Linked DNA regions of Bombyx mori. The main gene of each other region encodes a partner of the protein of the gene in region 2 in a complex. Links are inferred from orthologs where the notes say so. Each region holds a gene or a part of one and is shown on either strand. Other genes may lie near its edges.

Region 1 (4,075 bases), on a different chromosome or scaffold from region 2:
TTATTTACGAGAGGCAGAGGGGAAACTCGGCGGGACATAGCTCATAAAATTAACTAAAGAAAAACTAAGTTTCAAGTTACACACAAAATATATGTATCTAAAATTTGAGAGAAATTAATGTGAGATATTATTTTATTTTCCGGAATTCCTTAAAAATAATTAAAAAGTCGTTTGAATGCTGATAATTAATTTCGTGTGACTCGTTTCAGGCCTAAATGACAAACATGACCCTAAACGCATACTGGGAATAATAACCTATAAGGACTTTAAAAGATTAGATTTTTAATTGTGTCGAATCGGTAGGCGATTCTAAGGCTCACTTGGCACGCGATTATCATCCCTAACGCCCCACGACATAGACAACTCAGTGGATTGTGGAAAATAGTGGAAATATTTTTTTATTTTTTTATATCTTAGATGGGTGGACGAGCTCACAGCCCACCTGGTATCAAGTGGTTACTGGAGCCCATAGACATCCACAACGTAAATGCGCCACCCACCTTGAGATATAAGTTCTAAGGTCTCAAGTATAGTTACAACGGCTACCCCACCCTTCAAACCGAAACGCATTACTACTTCACGGCAGAAATAGGCAGGGTGGTGGTGCCTACCCGCGCGGACTCACAAGAGGTCCTACCACCAGTAATTACACAGATTATAATTTTGCGGGTTTCATTTTTATTACACGATGTTATTCCTTCACCGTGGAAATCAATCGTGAACATTTGTTGAGTACGTATTTCATTAGAAAAATTGGTACCCGCCTGCGGGATTCGAACACCGGTGCATTGCTCAACACGAATGCACCGGACGTCATATCCGTTAGGCCACGACGACTTCAAAAAATATGTCATAGATCTATCTTATTTAAAAAGTGTATTAGAGTCTAACTATCATAGATTTATACACTTAATATATTCGAGATAACTATACTGAGACCTTAGAACCTATATCTCAAGGTGGGTGGCGCATTTACCTTGTATGGGCTCCAGTAACCACTTAACGCCAGGTGAGCTGTGAGCTCATTCCCCCATCTAAGCAATAAATAAAAGAAATAATAATAATTGAACACGCCAACTAACAAGCCGCTGAACGTAACTTCTCGGGATCCTCCAAAAATTTCACTGAAAAAGTCTACAATGAAATGACAACCATTTTAATGAGATTATATATTTTCTTCCTATATCATCTCATCTTAATTGATTTCTTTTTCATTCCATTTCGTTTTCATTTCATTTGATTTCATTTCATGCCATGTTTTATATTAATCAACTTCATTTATATGTAAAATTATAATATGAAATAAAATATTATAATTTTACATATAAAAAAGTTTTCATTACAATTAAAATAAGACTTGACCCGAAGGTCTTGATAACCAGGTCATTAAATACTTTAAAAAAAATATATTTGTTTTGTATCATGTTTGACGTTTGTATCATAGAATAAACACTTATTAATTGTGTTCTAAACAGTTAAATAATAAAATAAAAATAATATACTTTCAAAACAGTAAATACACATTACATGGACAATTAAACAACTATAAATAGTTATGTAATCTCGAAACTCCATTTCCAAAACATAACCTCAAAATGAGCTCGATACAAGAGCGTCTTCAGCTCAAAAGAGTTCCTCTGGACACTTGGAATATACGTGAACAGCTATGCCTGGCCTCCGCCGTGGTCAGAAGCGGGGATCAGAACTGGATGTCGGTTTCCCGCGCTCTAAAGACCCTTGGCGAGCCAAACAGGCCTCCGGACTGGTATTCCCAAAAAAGGTTTTGTTTTTCTTTTATATCTACTATATAATTATTGATACAGGTTTGAAATAGCTTGCGATAGTGAAGTGGTGGCTGAGTTGATGAGAAACACATTCGTTTTTACACATTTATTTTTTATTTTCAAACCATTTTTGCATTATTCACCAATGAAAATTCCACCACGCTTTCCACGTTATTTGAACTCGATAAAACTTAAAATTATATTCAGTAGAGCTATTATAGTATTTAGTAGGCTATAATAGGTCAACACACACTCCTCTCTCTCTCATATCGTCATTCACACACTCCATCCATGTCTTCTTTGGTCAAGTTTTCCCCCTCTACCTTGCACTACAATTTCCATAAATCTCCTAGTCTCATGCATCTCCTCTCTACGCATAACATGTCGATACCACGTGAACTGTCCGCTCTTTAAGTCTTTCCACTCGCTAAAAGACACCCTCTATAACTTTGACAACATTAGGATTGGTTAAACACAGCTCTTATATTATATGGCGGGTGGCCCCAATAATTAAATGTTCAAAAGAAATGTTAATACAACATTTTGACAAAACAATAACACCGAGTTAAACAAAATAAAATGAGATCATTGTCAAAAGCCAATTGAATATTCAATATTATAAATAATTTATAAAAATATATTATCAAATAAACTAAAATAAGTAGCATATATAGCAATAAGTTTGTTCTACACACACTTATCACATTTTATTATTATTCTCATTATCCTCTCGCAGGTCTGCTGGAAGAGATTTCTCAAAGAAATAAGTAGTGCCTTTGTACATAATTTTCCTATTACTCTGTACTGTGTCTTGTTTTCTGTGTGTACATAAATAAATAAATAAAATAAATAATAAAATAGCACTAGCTTTAAAATAAAATCATTTAATGTAATTACACTTTGGAAAGAGTTCTGATATAATGGCATATAAAAAGAGTCTAACTAAGTATGTACCTTCTTTATTTAAAATCTATGAAAAAATTTAAATTTTGCAGATTGCTCCTTAAATCCCCAGTAAATTAATCCTATTCATAAAAAAATTAACAAAATTACAAATAACTTATTTGAAAGACACTAAAGCTCTAATTAATTATATTCATTCTATTATTTTAAATAGTTATATTGTTTATGAGCTTATTCAATCCATATCAAACTGCGTAGATGTCATGTCTTCCTCTGAAGCATTGGATAGCTGAATGATAATGAGATTTAGATCTACAAGAACTGTGGGCTCCGTTATCCGTATGTCATTAACACATTTCCATCCATCAGCTGTGCTGCACAATATGGAACGCTATTAGAACATGTGGAAACGCCGAAACGAAAAAAGAGAAACTCTGACGGTGGCGTGGAAACTCCACAGGAGAGTATATTGAAACGTTTAACCCAAGATCGGATAGCCGAGATCCAGAAGAATATTGCTGAAATGAGTCAACAACATGAAGTAATGAAGGTATTTAATTTTCAAGTGAAACTTCTTTCTTTCTTCTTTATGAGGGTAAAATTTTTACAGAACGTCACGCAGGTATGCAACGGAAGGACATCAAACTACTATTAAAATTAAGTACTTGTCAAATGTCAGTAGTAGTAGTTGTTGTATTTTTCCAACTGGAAAGGCAAATGTATCATATCATACAGCCTAATATTTTATTTTTTTGTGAAAAATGTTAATAGGAATTGAAATGAAATGAAAAGAATTTGGAACATAGCATGAAATTAAATTAGTCAATTCAATTGGCAAAATATTAGTCATCTACAATTTAGAAATCTAAGCATAATGTGAATGTCAACACTGAGGTTTGAGATTGACATTTGACAGACTTTTGGCGGGAACATATCTTCCTTTTTCCCTTCTTCTAAGTCTTGGAAATCTAAAGTTTTAGATTTGCATAAATATAAGTAAGACTTATAAATTAGTTCGCCAAAAAAGTTTCACTTCTGACATGTGTACTTTGTACGCACGCACTTTTTTTTTTTTATAAATCTCAAGCTTTTTATAAAACTTTAAGTGCTGTCAGAGTTGTTAAGTATTGGCTAATATCTGACCATTTAGTGACAGTTCGGTGTCAACATCAACATCAACTTTTAAAAGGTTTTATAGCCTAGTAATGAGAGTTTTAAGTCAAAGTCTTATTTTTACACACCAGTGCATCGCTACATACGAATGCACCGGACCTCTTATCCTTTAGGCCACGACGACTTCACTTTGACTCATAAATATAAGCTAGTAATATATCTTTCTTTACCTTTGTACCACAGGATGAATTATCGGAGATCCGTAATCCTTCAAC
Region 2 (3,330 bases):
TCAGCTCATTTATTGATTGACAATCAGAGTACAATAAAATTGATACAAAATCAGATGAATACTAAAGCTTCTATACATATTGAAATAAAATATCACTACATTAAAGATTTAATTTATAAGAAAATAGTGTCAATCTCATATGTGCCTACAAATGAAAATATCTCTGATATATTTACAAAATCTTTAACTATTCAAAAACATAATTATTTTTGTAGCAAGTTGAATTTAGTTTAAATATTGTATTAGAAAAGCTATGCATATGTTATACATATTTAATTGTTTAGCATTATTATTATCTTAAGAGAATTAACTAGATAACTGTTAATTTAGTAAATATTTTAATGTAACTAATATTGAAAGAAAAAGAAAAAAAGGGTATTTATGATAAATAGTGTTAGTAATGCACAGAGTGGACAGTTAACAAAATTTGTAATTCATTAAACTTATATTTTGTTTGAACAATTTAAGCAGTTGTAAACTTCTATAAATTGAGGGGGTGTGTTGAGTATAATTTAGGATTTGTGCACTACTCTGTGGCTATATATGTTAGTCTATAATTTAGTTTAGTTAGTCTATAATGTGTTATTACAAAATGAATCTATGTCACTTCACTTCCCTTCCGCTCTGCTAATAAAATGGTGCCCGTACTTTTGTGTAATAATTTGCCAAGAGAAATCCAATATGTTCGACTCCTTACACCAGTTGCGGCAGCGTTAATGATGAGAATCTTTGTGGGGGTGAGAAATAATAATGTTAATTTTAAATTCCCAGCGAAGCGGACGGGTACAGCTAGTAGTTTATATGTAATGTGTTTGTGCCGCTTTTTTATTGTTTCGGCGATGATGGCGTGATTGTATTGTTTCACAGTTAAAAACATTTAACTGTTGATGGTAATACCAAAATGAAACGCGTATGTCGCGTATTAAGCGAAATGTCGCTTAAACCAAATAGCCTTTCACCCGTCGGTATAATATATAAATAGAACAGTTTTTTTATTGCTTAGATGGGTGGACGAGCTCACTGCCAACCTGATTTTAAGTGGTTAGCGGAACCCTACATCTACAACGTAAACGCCGTCACCCACCTTGAGATATGAGTTCTAAGGTCTCAATATAGTTACAACAACTGCCCCATCCCTCAAACCTAAACGCATTACTGCTTCACGGCAGAAATAGGCAGGGTGGTAGTACCTACCCGTGCAGACTCACAAGAAGTCCTACCACCAGTAATTACGCAAATTATAATTTTGCGGGTTTGTTTTTATTATACGATGTTATTCCTTCACCATGGAAGTCAATCGCGTGAACATTTGTTAAGCACGTATTTCATTAGAAGAATTGGTACCCGCCTGCGGGATTGGAACACCGTTGCATCACTAGATACGTATGCATCATCGGACGTCTTATCATTTAGGCCACGACGTCTTGAAAATTAAACCACAAGAGAAATTTTATTTGCGTCTTACATAAAATGTTTGTTTTAGTGAAATTTGCGAACTGACTAGCATTAAGAAGGAGGACGTGATCAGTACATTGCAGAATTTGAACCTCATCAACTACTACAAGGGACAGTACATTATCTCGGTCAACCAGGTTATCTATACCGTTAATTGATAATTATTTATGACTCACTTAAATGGAAACAACGTTAAAATTTGATTTCAACTTAATGAAGAATCGAGTAGTTTATTTAATAATAATAAAAACACGTGTGGCACTCGGGGACTGCCGCGGTAAAGCTATTGCATAGCATTTTTTATCAACTTATGCAGTTATAATTAGACAATAATAATTTAATATTAAAACAATAATAAAATAAGAACACGCTATATTTATAAACATTAACAAAAGCAAAACATTAATTGTCCCCTTCACACTCATAAGCTAAACCGCGCGAGAGAGAGATGGGCAGACTTTTAATGATGCGCATCCAGTGCGACGTCACGCCGCGCGCTTATTCACAAATACTGCACAAGCGCAACGTGAATGTGTTGAACGCGAGCTACATGGCAGGCGGAGTGGGGAGTGTCAGGTTTTATTTTCGTTACGAAATTTCTTGATTCGGTCGCCGCGCTCAAAGCCCGCGATAAAAGCTATGCAATAGTTTAAAAATCACGTTAATTTTATCGTTATTATAACTCAACTTAATATCGGATATAGATTAGTTATTTAAAAAATATAAATATGTATACACATAATGGGAAAAAATATATTTTTCTTTATATTTCCGAAAGCAACGTTTTCTCCATTTAAGTGTAAAAAGAAAAGTACTCCCATGATCTGATATTTCTTATCAATAATTAGGAAACTCTTCAGCAACACGAGAAAGCAATGGAAAAACGTATGCTAAGAATCGATCCAAAATGTTTACACTGGACTCCAAAAGATTGGTCTAAACGGGCGAAATGGTAAGTTGATTTAAATAAAAAATAATATAACCAACCTTAGTAATTTCGGATCGTAGAAATAAATCTGTGAATGTGTGTTATTGTTTATCATTTGAATTATCTACTTATATATTCTTTATTATTTTATTTAACACACACAGTTATATTTTATATTTTTATATCCTCCAATTATATTTTAATATTTTCATTTAAATCGATGATTGCATAATTTTTGATAATCTTTGTAAATTATGTATCAATTATGGATTTATTATTCGCCATTCCTTTTTGACTATATATTCTGATGTTTATTTTTTTCTTTTTGTCACAGTGTTTGAAGTGATAATAATGGAGACGAGAGCTATCTAACTCAAGCTTCGACACGTATGCAACCCGTTCATTTTGTATCTAACTAATAATAATATTGTTTTTTTAATGGCTCGATACTAACATTGCTTGGGACTCTCATGACACATCTTAACATGTTTGCACGAATTTTTTTTTTTGTTTCACTTTGTCTTGTGTAGATTCGTAGTTCATTATGAGTTAATTTTTTTTTGTTTTTTGTTTTAGTAATAGGCTAGATGACTGATTTTTATAAATGTTTCGTATAAATCCAGCTTGTAACTAAGGAAATGATGTTTAGTAGTATAGTAGTGGTTGTAAGCTTTTTAATTGAATGCTAGACAGAGAGAGCACTATCGAAAGATATGACGTCACATGTGATATGGCGTTACATGTGTTCAACAGTCCGGTAGGTGGAATTCAGACTATCTCTCAACTGAAATAAATCTGTATGATCGGTTTTTTTTTTTTGTTCCTTATCTTAATTGCTTTTATTTAACCCTTAGAGGCATGTTGTTTTAAACAAATAAAACGAACAATAATGTAGGTTTTTTTTTAATCCGTCTAATTTTGTAGATTTCAATAACAATAATAATATA
Region 3 (4,276 bases), on a different chromosome or scaffold from region 2:
TATATAGAATATAAAAAAATATTAATTTCGGTAAATACATTGCTAAAGTAAATCGCAAGTAAATTATATTCCTCTAAAACAGTGAACGGAAAACATAATATACATCTGGCCGGGTAGTAGCTAAGATTTTATTATATGTTGATGTGTGTACGCAATGTAGAGGTCTGCCGTGATCAATATAAGTTTTTAAGACTACAATAAACAACATATTATTATATCAATGGCAGATCTGGTCAATTACTTTTAAAATTTTATTTTTTTAGCATTTTCAAAGTGGTCTGCCACAAAGTAAAATGCGCGGTAATGGTATGCCATTCTTATTTTCCGATAATAATAATCATATATTTTCAAAATTTCAAAACGGTAGACGTGGTCAAATGGATTTAAAATCCGTCAAAATCGGTACCTGTCCTACCTGAGCGCTCGGCGCGTCGACCACTTTGAGCTTAGTGAGTCCCCACCTCATGCATGGTAGGTATAGGGGTCTCAATGTACGAAAATTCAGGTCTGGTCAAATACATACAGGTAGAGTCCACGGGCTCTTGGGCTACAACGTTGAAAGACGCTTCACGTCAGCTTCCACTATTGCCTTTGTCTACTTTGTCGTTATTGATTTTAGTTTTCGGGTAATGACGAGAGGGAGAGAGAGATGAATATATTTTTTTTAGATCAAAATTTCGATGGCTGACTCGTTTAAACCAATAACGAGTTGTGTATTCAGTTTTAAATGTTGTGAGCCGTTTGGGCGGCAGTGCCACCGCGATGGATCTTTTATTCCATAATTACTCATATTTTTACGGTATCTACATTATTGAAAAGATACAAATAGTAAAAATAAAACATTAGGGAATAAACAATTGACTGAATTTCAAAATATTATCTATTTATTTAAATTAGTATTTATTGCCAGTCATACAAAAATTGCATTTCAAATGGCCAGTTCTCACGAACAGGAACTTCTTAGGCAAATACATATTATTTCCTACGATTATGAGAAAGGCTACGAAAAAAAATTTTTTTTGTGTGTATTGTTTCAATACAAACTCAATAAAAAGCAAATACAAATTGGTAAAATATCTTTAAAGATTTTTGAGGACCTGTCGTACATGCTGATGCATAATTAAAAAACGCGATTACGTACTACGTAGCTTGTATTTAAGTCTAATTAATTATGTTACCTACAACATTTGCGGTTAAAATAATAAAATAATAATTCTACGTGTTAGTTTTAGCGGGCTTTGTATCTATATATCTACCATATACTATTTAAATAGGTATGTGTACCTACTAATGTATATAAGACTGACAGTGGCTGTAGATCATAGACTTCAGTGCTGTAGATACATCTTCAATCCACCACAGTTAAATCTAAATTTGTCACTGTCTTTTTATAAGTTTGGCTGTATGATTGTTGTTCCCTTTAACAATACTATCAGAGAAATCGAGTAAACATACTGTGAATGTCAAATTTTGATTTTTAATAGTAACAAACAAAATTTTGTTTTTATTAACAACATTTATGAACTTCTTGACTGAAACTGATTCCTTAAAATTCTATATTAACAAAATTCGAGCTGTTTTACAAAATGGCTCAACGGGCACGAAGATCAAACGCTGGAAATCGTATGGCTAAACTCCTTGACGAGGAGGAAGAGGATGATTTTTACAAAACAACATACGGAGGGTTTAATGATGTTGAAGAGGACGTAGAATATCAGTATGTAATATCATAGTATTCATAGAATATACGTTGAATCTATTAAGCTTTTGGTTTCGGAGAACCGAGCCTAAACGACACTCCCTGAAAGGTACTTGCGAGTAGAAATGTGGGCTGATGAGTTACTTAGATTTTTTCCGCTGCTATCTAGCTAGTCTCTGAAAGTACAAGACAAAGGGCTTCGACATATAGCGGAAACTCTCACTTCTGAGAATCATGCTTTTCCAGTAAGGCAATCAATCACTTCTTGTTGTTAATCATAAGGTCGTAAGATATTTTGTCAAGTAGTCTGCAAATTCAGCACATTCCAGCAAAATGTTAGCTGCTGTCTCATTGCCTCCGTCTAACATATTGTATATAAACATTTGTTCAATTTTTTTGATCCATAATATCCTATAAAACTATGATTAAATCATAAAAAAATGTTAAAATAATAATGGCAGAGTTACATTAACAAAGTTAATCCTATAGAGAAAAAATAAGCTACGGAAACAAGCAAATTTACTGGCACCAAATAAATATTTGATATATTTTGGATATTCTTAGTGGTTTGCGATTCCAATCTGGTGGTAGAATCTGCAAAGTATTACTCTTGCCAGAGTTAGTGTTAGTAAATTCTTTAAGGTTGAGCCTGTGAGCTTATCTACTAGTCTGCGAGAAGCTGGAATAGACTCTTAACTTACAAGTGAATTTTTTCTTTCTTCTTTCCTATTACCCTCTGGTGGAGTGTAGTAGGGCTTGAATCAAATTCATCCATTTGCATAGTTCTTAGGCAGATGTGAATAGAATAATAAAAATAGAAGAAAAGTAGAACATGTGAATAGGTAGGGAAAAAGTTGTTAATATATAGTATAAAGTATATATTATAGCCTAATAAAATAGTTAATGAATTTACTTGACCCTTGCATTAAAATGTTCAGTGGTTAACTTTGAAATTTTTAACATTTTAGACAAGAAAAGGAAGTTGATGATGAAGTTGATTCAGATTTTGATATTGATGAGAATGATGAACCAGTGTCTGACCAGGAAGTTGAAGAAAAAGCTAAAAGAAAAGTTGGCACTAAAGCTTATAAGGTATAATTAAAATATTCTTCAATGAGTTTTATAGAGTTATCCTCAGTGGTAGGCACCATCCAGGATATGTCCCCTATATTATTTTGTAATGATTATTGATTAGCATTATCAGGTATGTTTGGTTTATTCTTTCAATAATCGTTTTGTATGTCATAATAATAAAACTGAGTAACCTTTTGCACTACACATCTTATAATTGAAACTAATATTACACTTGTATGAAATAGGCAGAAATTGTAAAACATTGAAATAGAATAGCGTAGATATATTTATAAATATGAACTGCCCAGACATTATTTCAAATAAAAATCTCAATGCAATAATGATATTTCAGGACCCCAATAAGAAGAAATTAAATGAAAAATCAAAAAAGACAGTCATCAAAAAATCCAAAGATGATAAATCTATAGAAGACAAAGTTGAAAAACAAAACAAAAGTGCCGTGGACAAAATTGTTGATACCTCAATAGGTAATTTTAAACTTTTCTTTTAATGATATACTTTATTTGGTGTCATTATAAATAAATAAAACAATAAGTTTTGCTTAAGTAACAGTAAGTTTTGTAGTAAGAGTAGTGTTGTATGAGAAAGGAAATTTGATTCATAGCTAAATCTCTCAAACCTCACCATACAAAATAAATATCTTAAGTCTTTATGAACCTGGCTAAGAAACTGAAATCGAATCAATTGCAAGAAAATAGTAAATGAATAAATAGTAAAAATGTAAATAGTTTGAACTGTAAAGAATTCACAACTAAAATGTATATATAATATAATATGTAAATAAATGTAGTCCTATTTTTTAACTGAAGAACGGAAGTCTATAAGACAAAGTACAGCTATGAAATCTGCCGAGACAATACAAAGGATAAAAATCAGGTCAGAGCTGAAAAAGAAGAAACCGAAGAAAGTAGAAGAGAAGATGCCGACCCAGGAAGAGCTGTTGGAAGAAGCAGTCGAGACAGAGAAAGAGAACTTAAAGAGTTTAGGTGAATATATATTTCTAATTGTATGAATGGGTGATAGAGCTTCAAGACATAGTAATTAACAGTACCTTGAAATACGAGGTCTTAATCTCAATTTTATTTTATAACGGCTGTATCGTTTTTCAAACCGGAATAAGCAGAGGGTTGTGTAGGCATCACAAGATGCCCACATGATGACCAGCAAGAATTACGTGAATTAAAATTTTCGTGCAAAGTTAAAGTACAACTTCAGGAATTCTCTAAACTTGTTCTGTTTTGTGAGCTGTCTCATACTTTGGAACATAAATCAGGATATTTTTAAAATTTTGATAAAATTGCCCATAAAGGGACTTATACTATTAACAAAAACCAAAAAAAAAATTTTTTATTCAACATAAATGAAAGTACATACTTGTTGAACGTCAAAAAGAACTACCACCAATTAACAAAAACTAGCCTCCGTCCTGAGAGGAACTGGCAAGAAACTCAGCTGGCGTCTTTTTCTTTTTTCTATAATCTA
Region 4 (4,327 bases), on a different chromosome or scaffold from region 2:
AGTGTAGCAAATAAAAATTCGCTTAGGTAGAATTTGCCCATCAAAGGTGAGAACCACAGTTTCAGTAGCCTTAAATTCAGTGCCATTACTAGTAATGATACGCCGTCTCATTCTTCTTACTTTTAAAATCGGACCGCATCCAACAGGTAAATTAATATTTTCCATAACTTCTTCATCTGACCACTCAGCAGGTATGCCTCTTACGACACCCATACGGGTCACAGTAAACGTTGGGATAAAAACCTTATACTCGGCGGATTGCAAAGCAGGGCTGTTTAAGAAAGAATTTGCGTCCTGGTAATTATTGAAAGACAGAGACAGTCTATTACGGCCAATTCTTTTTAAGCTTCCGTTAACGATGTTGTGGATAGAATTCCTTTTTAAAAAACGACCAAAAGCGATAGGGTGAACTGTTACATCATCGTTAGGAGCTTGCTGTATTTTTTGCACATGAACAACATATGGTGCTGCATCACTTACCTGATAAGTTAATCTGGCTACCGATTCTGGTTTTTTGTACTGATTGGACTGATTGGAATTCAGTTGCGAGTCAGTGAATTGGGGAGGAGTAATACTTTGGGTGTTAGTGTTACTATTAAACAAAGGTATGCAATCACATTCGTTTGGTTTTATTTCTTTGCCCTGATTTTGTTTCCGATTTCGTCTTTTTTTATGGCATTTAGAGCAATGCTTATTGACAGTGGCTCTACGTTTTCGAGCACCACTGTTAGATTTAACGGATCCATCGGTTTCCATTCCAGATTCATTTGATATTGTTACATTGTAACCGACCCCAGGGACTTCTCCGCCCCCAGGGTCATCAGGCGGCTCCATAAGGAGCAAAAGTTAGGAAAAAAAAACACTTACCAATAACAGTCCTAATTCACTTTTAAATAAATAAAACTTAAACAAAACAAATATTACTATATAAACTACACTAAACTACTGATCCAATCCAAAAAATAAAATAAAATAATTTATAAGTCGAAAAACGCGTACGTCTACAATCAAGTTTCCCGCGCTTCTCTCCTTGTAGCCAGTTATGTACGGTACTTGGTTACACACCAATGAGCGCACATATTAGGTACCTACCTATTGATGTTGTGAATTCGCATATTTTAATCGCGACTATTTTAAGTCGATTGTCGAAATCGTCAAATACACGAAGTGTGTCTTTTGAATGAAATTGTGTCAAATTGAAATTTCTAATTTGTCTACATATGCGATCTATGGAAATGTTTTTTCAAAATACACGATACAAATACACGAACTAGTACTTATACTTTGTATAGTATTATTAGTACTATGCCTATGGTATTAATTAGAATCAAAGGTTAGTAATTAACTTACCTTGGACCACTTGGACTATATACTTACAATATATACAAACAGCTATTTACCACATAATTTTAAAGTTTAAGTTCAATCTAAGAAATAAATCAAAAGTAATATTTCTTAGTTAGCTGGTATTTTAATCGATTTTGTGACCGATGTTAACACTCTTTTTGTCACAGCACTACTTACCCACCATTTTGTAAAATCAATCAAGCTTTCCAGCTTTATGAAGTGTGACGTTTAAGTATACATCAACGTAGTATCTATTGACTAATTTATTTGAGTTTTAGGTTCAAAGTTAGCATTTCAACAGTAATTTAACAAACTTGAAGCACAAAACACTCACCAAAATGCTGTATCTTGAAGATTATTTGGAAAGTAAGTTATTTGTTAGACCAGTGACGTAACTAAAAATCCATTAAGACAGTTGGTAGCACTGTAGCGTCCTTAATAAATAAAGCGCAAAATTTAAAAATACCACTATTTGAATTGTTAAACAACATCGTTGACGCAGAATATTGAATTAGTAAATTAAGTAATACAAATAATAATAACAGCTTGATTTAATTTTAAAGTTTATGTGAAAGCATAAACCGAATAAAATTTGAGATTTAATTGCAGTGATAGAACATCTACCGCAAGAACTGCGAGACAGATTTACTGAAATGAGAGAAATGGATTTGTCTGTCCAAAGTAAGCTATCTTGCCATAAAATTACATTCATACATACAATACAATTACACTATTATACCAGACTTTTACTATATTTTGGTCATTAATAGATAACATGGACACCCTTGAGAAAAGAGTCCGTACTCTTTTTGGTGGATGTCGTCGTGGTGAAATAAATACCGATCAAGCCAATACTGAGTTTTCGGATATTAAGCGGGGCTATGCCAAAACTTTAGAAGAGGCTGACGAAAAGACCACACTTGCCAACCAAATGTATGATTTGGTTGATAGGTATCTTCGACGATTAGGTACGTATCACTAAAAAATCCTGTACACAAAATAATGTATGAAATATATTGCAACTTTTAAGTAAATTCAGTTAAATGAGTGATTCCATAATTAAAATTAATTAACACTCCGGTTTGCATACATAATTGTGTACCACTATGAAAACATGGTATGATGTATAATTAAACAATTTATATATTCGAAATATTCAAATAATAAGTTAAACATGCTTAAAAACAGATACAGAGCTGCATAAATTCAAGTGTGAGCTTGAAGCAGACAACAAAGGGATAACAGAATTGCTTGAGAAGAGGTCACTTGAATTGGATGTTAATACTAATCACACTAGCACATCAAACAGCAGTCATTACAAGGAAAATAGGTAACTCAACACAAATGTCAAATTAAAATTGTGTAATGAAAAATATCCTCAATCATGTTTTGACTAAATAGTTGGATAGATACTATCTTTAAACAATAATTTGCTCTCAAGAGTTAGTATTAAACTACAATTCATTGTAGTTTGAATCGCATCTTGTTTCCTACTGGAACAGTAAGTAATCAGTAGCTTGACTATGCCTGGCATTGCTGATGTCTGAGTTACAGTGACTATATACCATCAGGTAGGCTCTATATGCTGCTGCATGCCCACCTTTGATCTGTCTTGGAAAAAAAAATGAAACATTAATAAAATAAGATAATTCTTGGAAATTGTTCAGGTATCGCATAAGGCCAGAAAAGCGACGAGATAGTTGGGGAAATCGTGATTCCCAACGTGGACATTCCTCAAGCAATATGTCGCGCACTGACTCCGCCATACAGGTTTGTTAGGAGATTTTAGGCAAACTCAAAAAAAAGTCGTAATAAAAAAAACAATTACTAAGAAACAATTTTCAGAATTTACAACTTAACTTGCAAATAAGTTGTTTATTTCAAAGTACAGTGTAAAACTTATAATTTCTGTTCAAATACTTTCAGGCTGCACTTGGTCGTGAATCTTACTCTTTGGGACATGCTGGCAGTACCATAGCTGCAGCAGCAAGCCAAGCTATTGCTGCTACACAACAAGTAAATTAAACATTAATATACATGATTAATAAAAAACATGTTTTTGGTTGTATAAAAATAACAGGTTCAGCCTAACTGATATCACTTTTTCCTGACCTCAAAACGGGATAACACATTATACACAGTCTTAAATCTACACTTTTTGGTCAATAAAATAAATTAACTACTATTCCAGCTAATTACTTATAGACTGACAAATACTCTGAATAATAATTAAAATGAAAAGTATTTATACGAATTAATAGAGTTTTCATGTGAAGGCAGTAGTTTATGCTCATTTCAGCTTCAGAATCTTTCTGCATTTAACAAATAGATATAATGTATCATTTAATATAATATTTTTTTGATAAAACCATCACTTTATTTCCGAATTATGTTAACATTAATTCTCTTAATGTACAGATGCAGCATGGTCGTCGTACAGCATCATTGAAAGCATCCTATGAAGCAGTTGCAGGTGGAGAGCTGGCTCATCATGCTTTACAAACTCATCATCACGATCATGGTAAAAAAAATATTTAAAATAAATTAATTGATCATTCTCAGTTGCTCAAACGCTAGAAAAGCTAGTTATAAGCTTTTTTCAGAATTTCCCTGGGTGAAAAGTTTGTCTACAATTGGTTATCTGTCCACTATACCAATTATAATAGACCAGAAAATCTAGGCAAGCGCGAATTGATAAATTTTCAATATGAATTACGTTTGGGGAGCAGTAAATCTCTCTATCAAATTCACTTCAAAATAAAAATAAATAACAGATAATTGGTAAATAATGACAAAGTGTCATCTAGTCCCAAACTAGGACTTTCTGAATTATGGGAAACAAAGACTGATGCACATGCATACTTAATATGTTTAAACATGTCTGGCTATTAAAGACAGGCAAACTAGTTTGTCGTACCAATATTTTCCACAAATTCGACTTGGGAATCGAACCTACATATCTCGGCTCTGCTAACAGGGG

Evidence for each region.
Region 1: histone acetyltransferase Tip60 (region 2) and bromodomain-containing protein 8 share a complex: the UniProt entries of both Homo sapiens proteins name them as parts of the SWR1-like complex. The link is inferred for Bombyx mori from reciprocal best matches to the Homo sapiens genes KAT5 and BRD8.
Region 3: histone acetyltransferase Tip60 (region 2) and vacuolar protein sorting-associated protein 72 homolog share a complex: the UniProt entries of both Homo sapiens proteins name them as parts of the nuA4 histone acetyltransferase complex. The link is inferred for Bombyx mori from reciprocal best matches to the Homo sapiens genes KAT5 and VPS72.
Region 4: histone acetyltransferase Tip60 (region 2) and inhibitor of growth protein 3 share a complex: the UniProt entries of both Homo sapiens proteins name them as parts of the SWR1-like complex. The link is inferred for Bombyx mori from reciprocal best matches to the Homo sapiens genes KAT5 and ING3.

Annotation. Positions count from the first base shown.
Region 1 is NC_085117.1:1,939,492-1,943,566, reverse strand, and holds the start of bromodomain-containing protein 8, read left to right. Parts: upstream 1-1,243; 5' UTR 1,244-1,595; coding exon 1,596-1,780; intron 1,781-3,056; coding exon 3,057-3,237; intron 3,238-4,043; coding exon 4,044-4,075. Other genes in the region: uncharacterized protein LOC101740762, read left to right, coding at 1-47. UniProt on the Homo sapiens protein: May act as a coactivator during transcriptional activation by hormone-activated nuclear receptors (NR). Isoform 2 stimulates transcriptional activation by AR/DHTR, ESR1/NR3A1, RXRA/NR2B1 and THRB/ERBA2.
Region 2 is NC_085124.1:9,232,013-9,235,342, forward strand, and holds the end of histone acetyltransferase Tip60, read left to right. Parts: intron 1-1,483; coding exon 1,484-1,592; intron 1,593-2,303; coding exon 2,304-2,407; intron 2,408-2,717; coding exon 2,718-2,724; 3' UTR 2,725-2,776; downstream 2,777-3,330. UniProt on the Homo sapiens protein: Catalytic subunit of the NuA4 histone acetyltransferase complex, a multiprotein complex involved in transcriptional activation of select genes principally by acetylation of nucleosomal histones H2A and H4.
Region 3 is NC_085112.1:12,270,621-12,274,896, forward strand, and holds the start of vacuolar protein sorting-associated protein 72 homolog, read left to right. Parts: upstream 1-1,430; 5' UTR 1,431-1,586; coding exon 1,587-1,717; intron 1,718-2,667; coding exon 2,668-2,791; intron 2,792-3,125; coding exon 3,126-3,261; intron 3,262-3,603; coding exon 3,604-3,780; intron 3,781-4,276. UniProt on the Homo sapiens protein: Deposition-and-exchange histone chaperone specific for H2AZ1, specifically chaperones H2AZ1 and deposits it into nucleosomes.
Region 4 is NC_085109.1:7,261,569-7,265,895, reverse strand, and holds the start of inhibitor of growth protein 3, read left to right. Parts: upstream 1-1,503; 5' UTR 1,504-1,685; coding exon 1,686-1,713; intron 1,714-1,956; coding exon 1,957-2,028; intron 2,029-2,117; coding exon 2,118-2,315; intron 2,316-2,535; coding exon 2,536-2,677; intron 2,678-3,014; coding exon 3,015-3,117; intron 3,118-3,273; coding exon 3,274-3,363; intron 3,364-3,765; coding exon 3,766-3,868; intron 3,869-4,327. UniProt on the Homo sapiens protein: Component of the NuA4 histone acetyltransferase (HAT) complex which is involved in transcriptional activation of select genes principally by acetylation of nucleosomal histones H4 and H2A.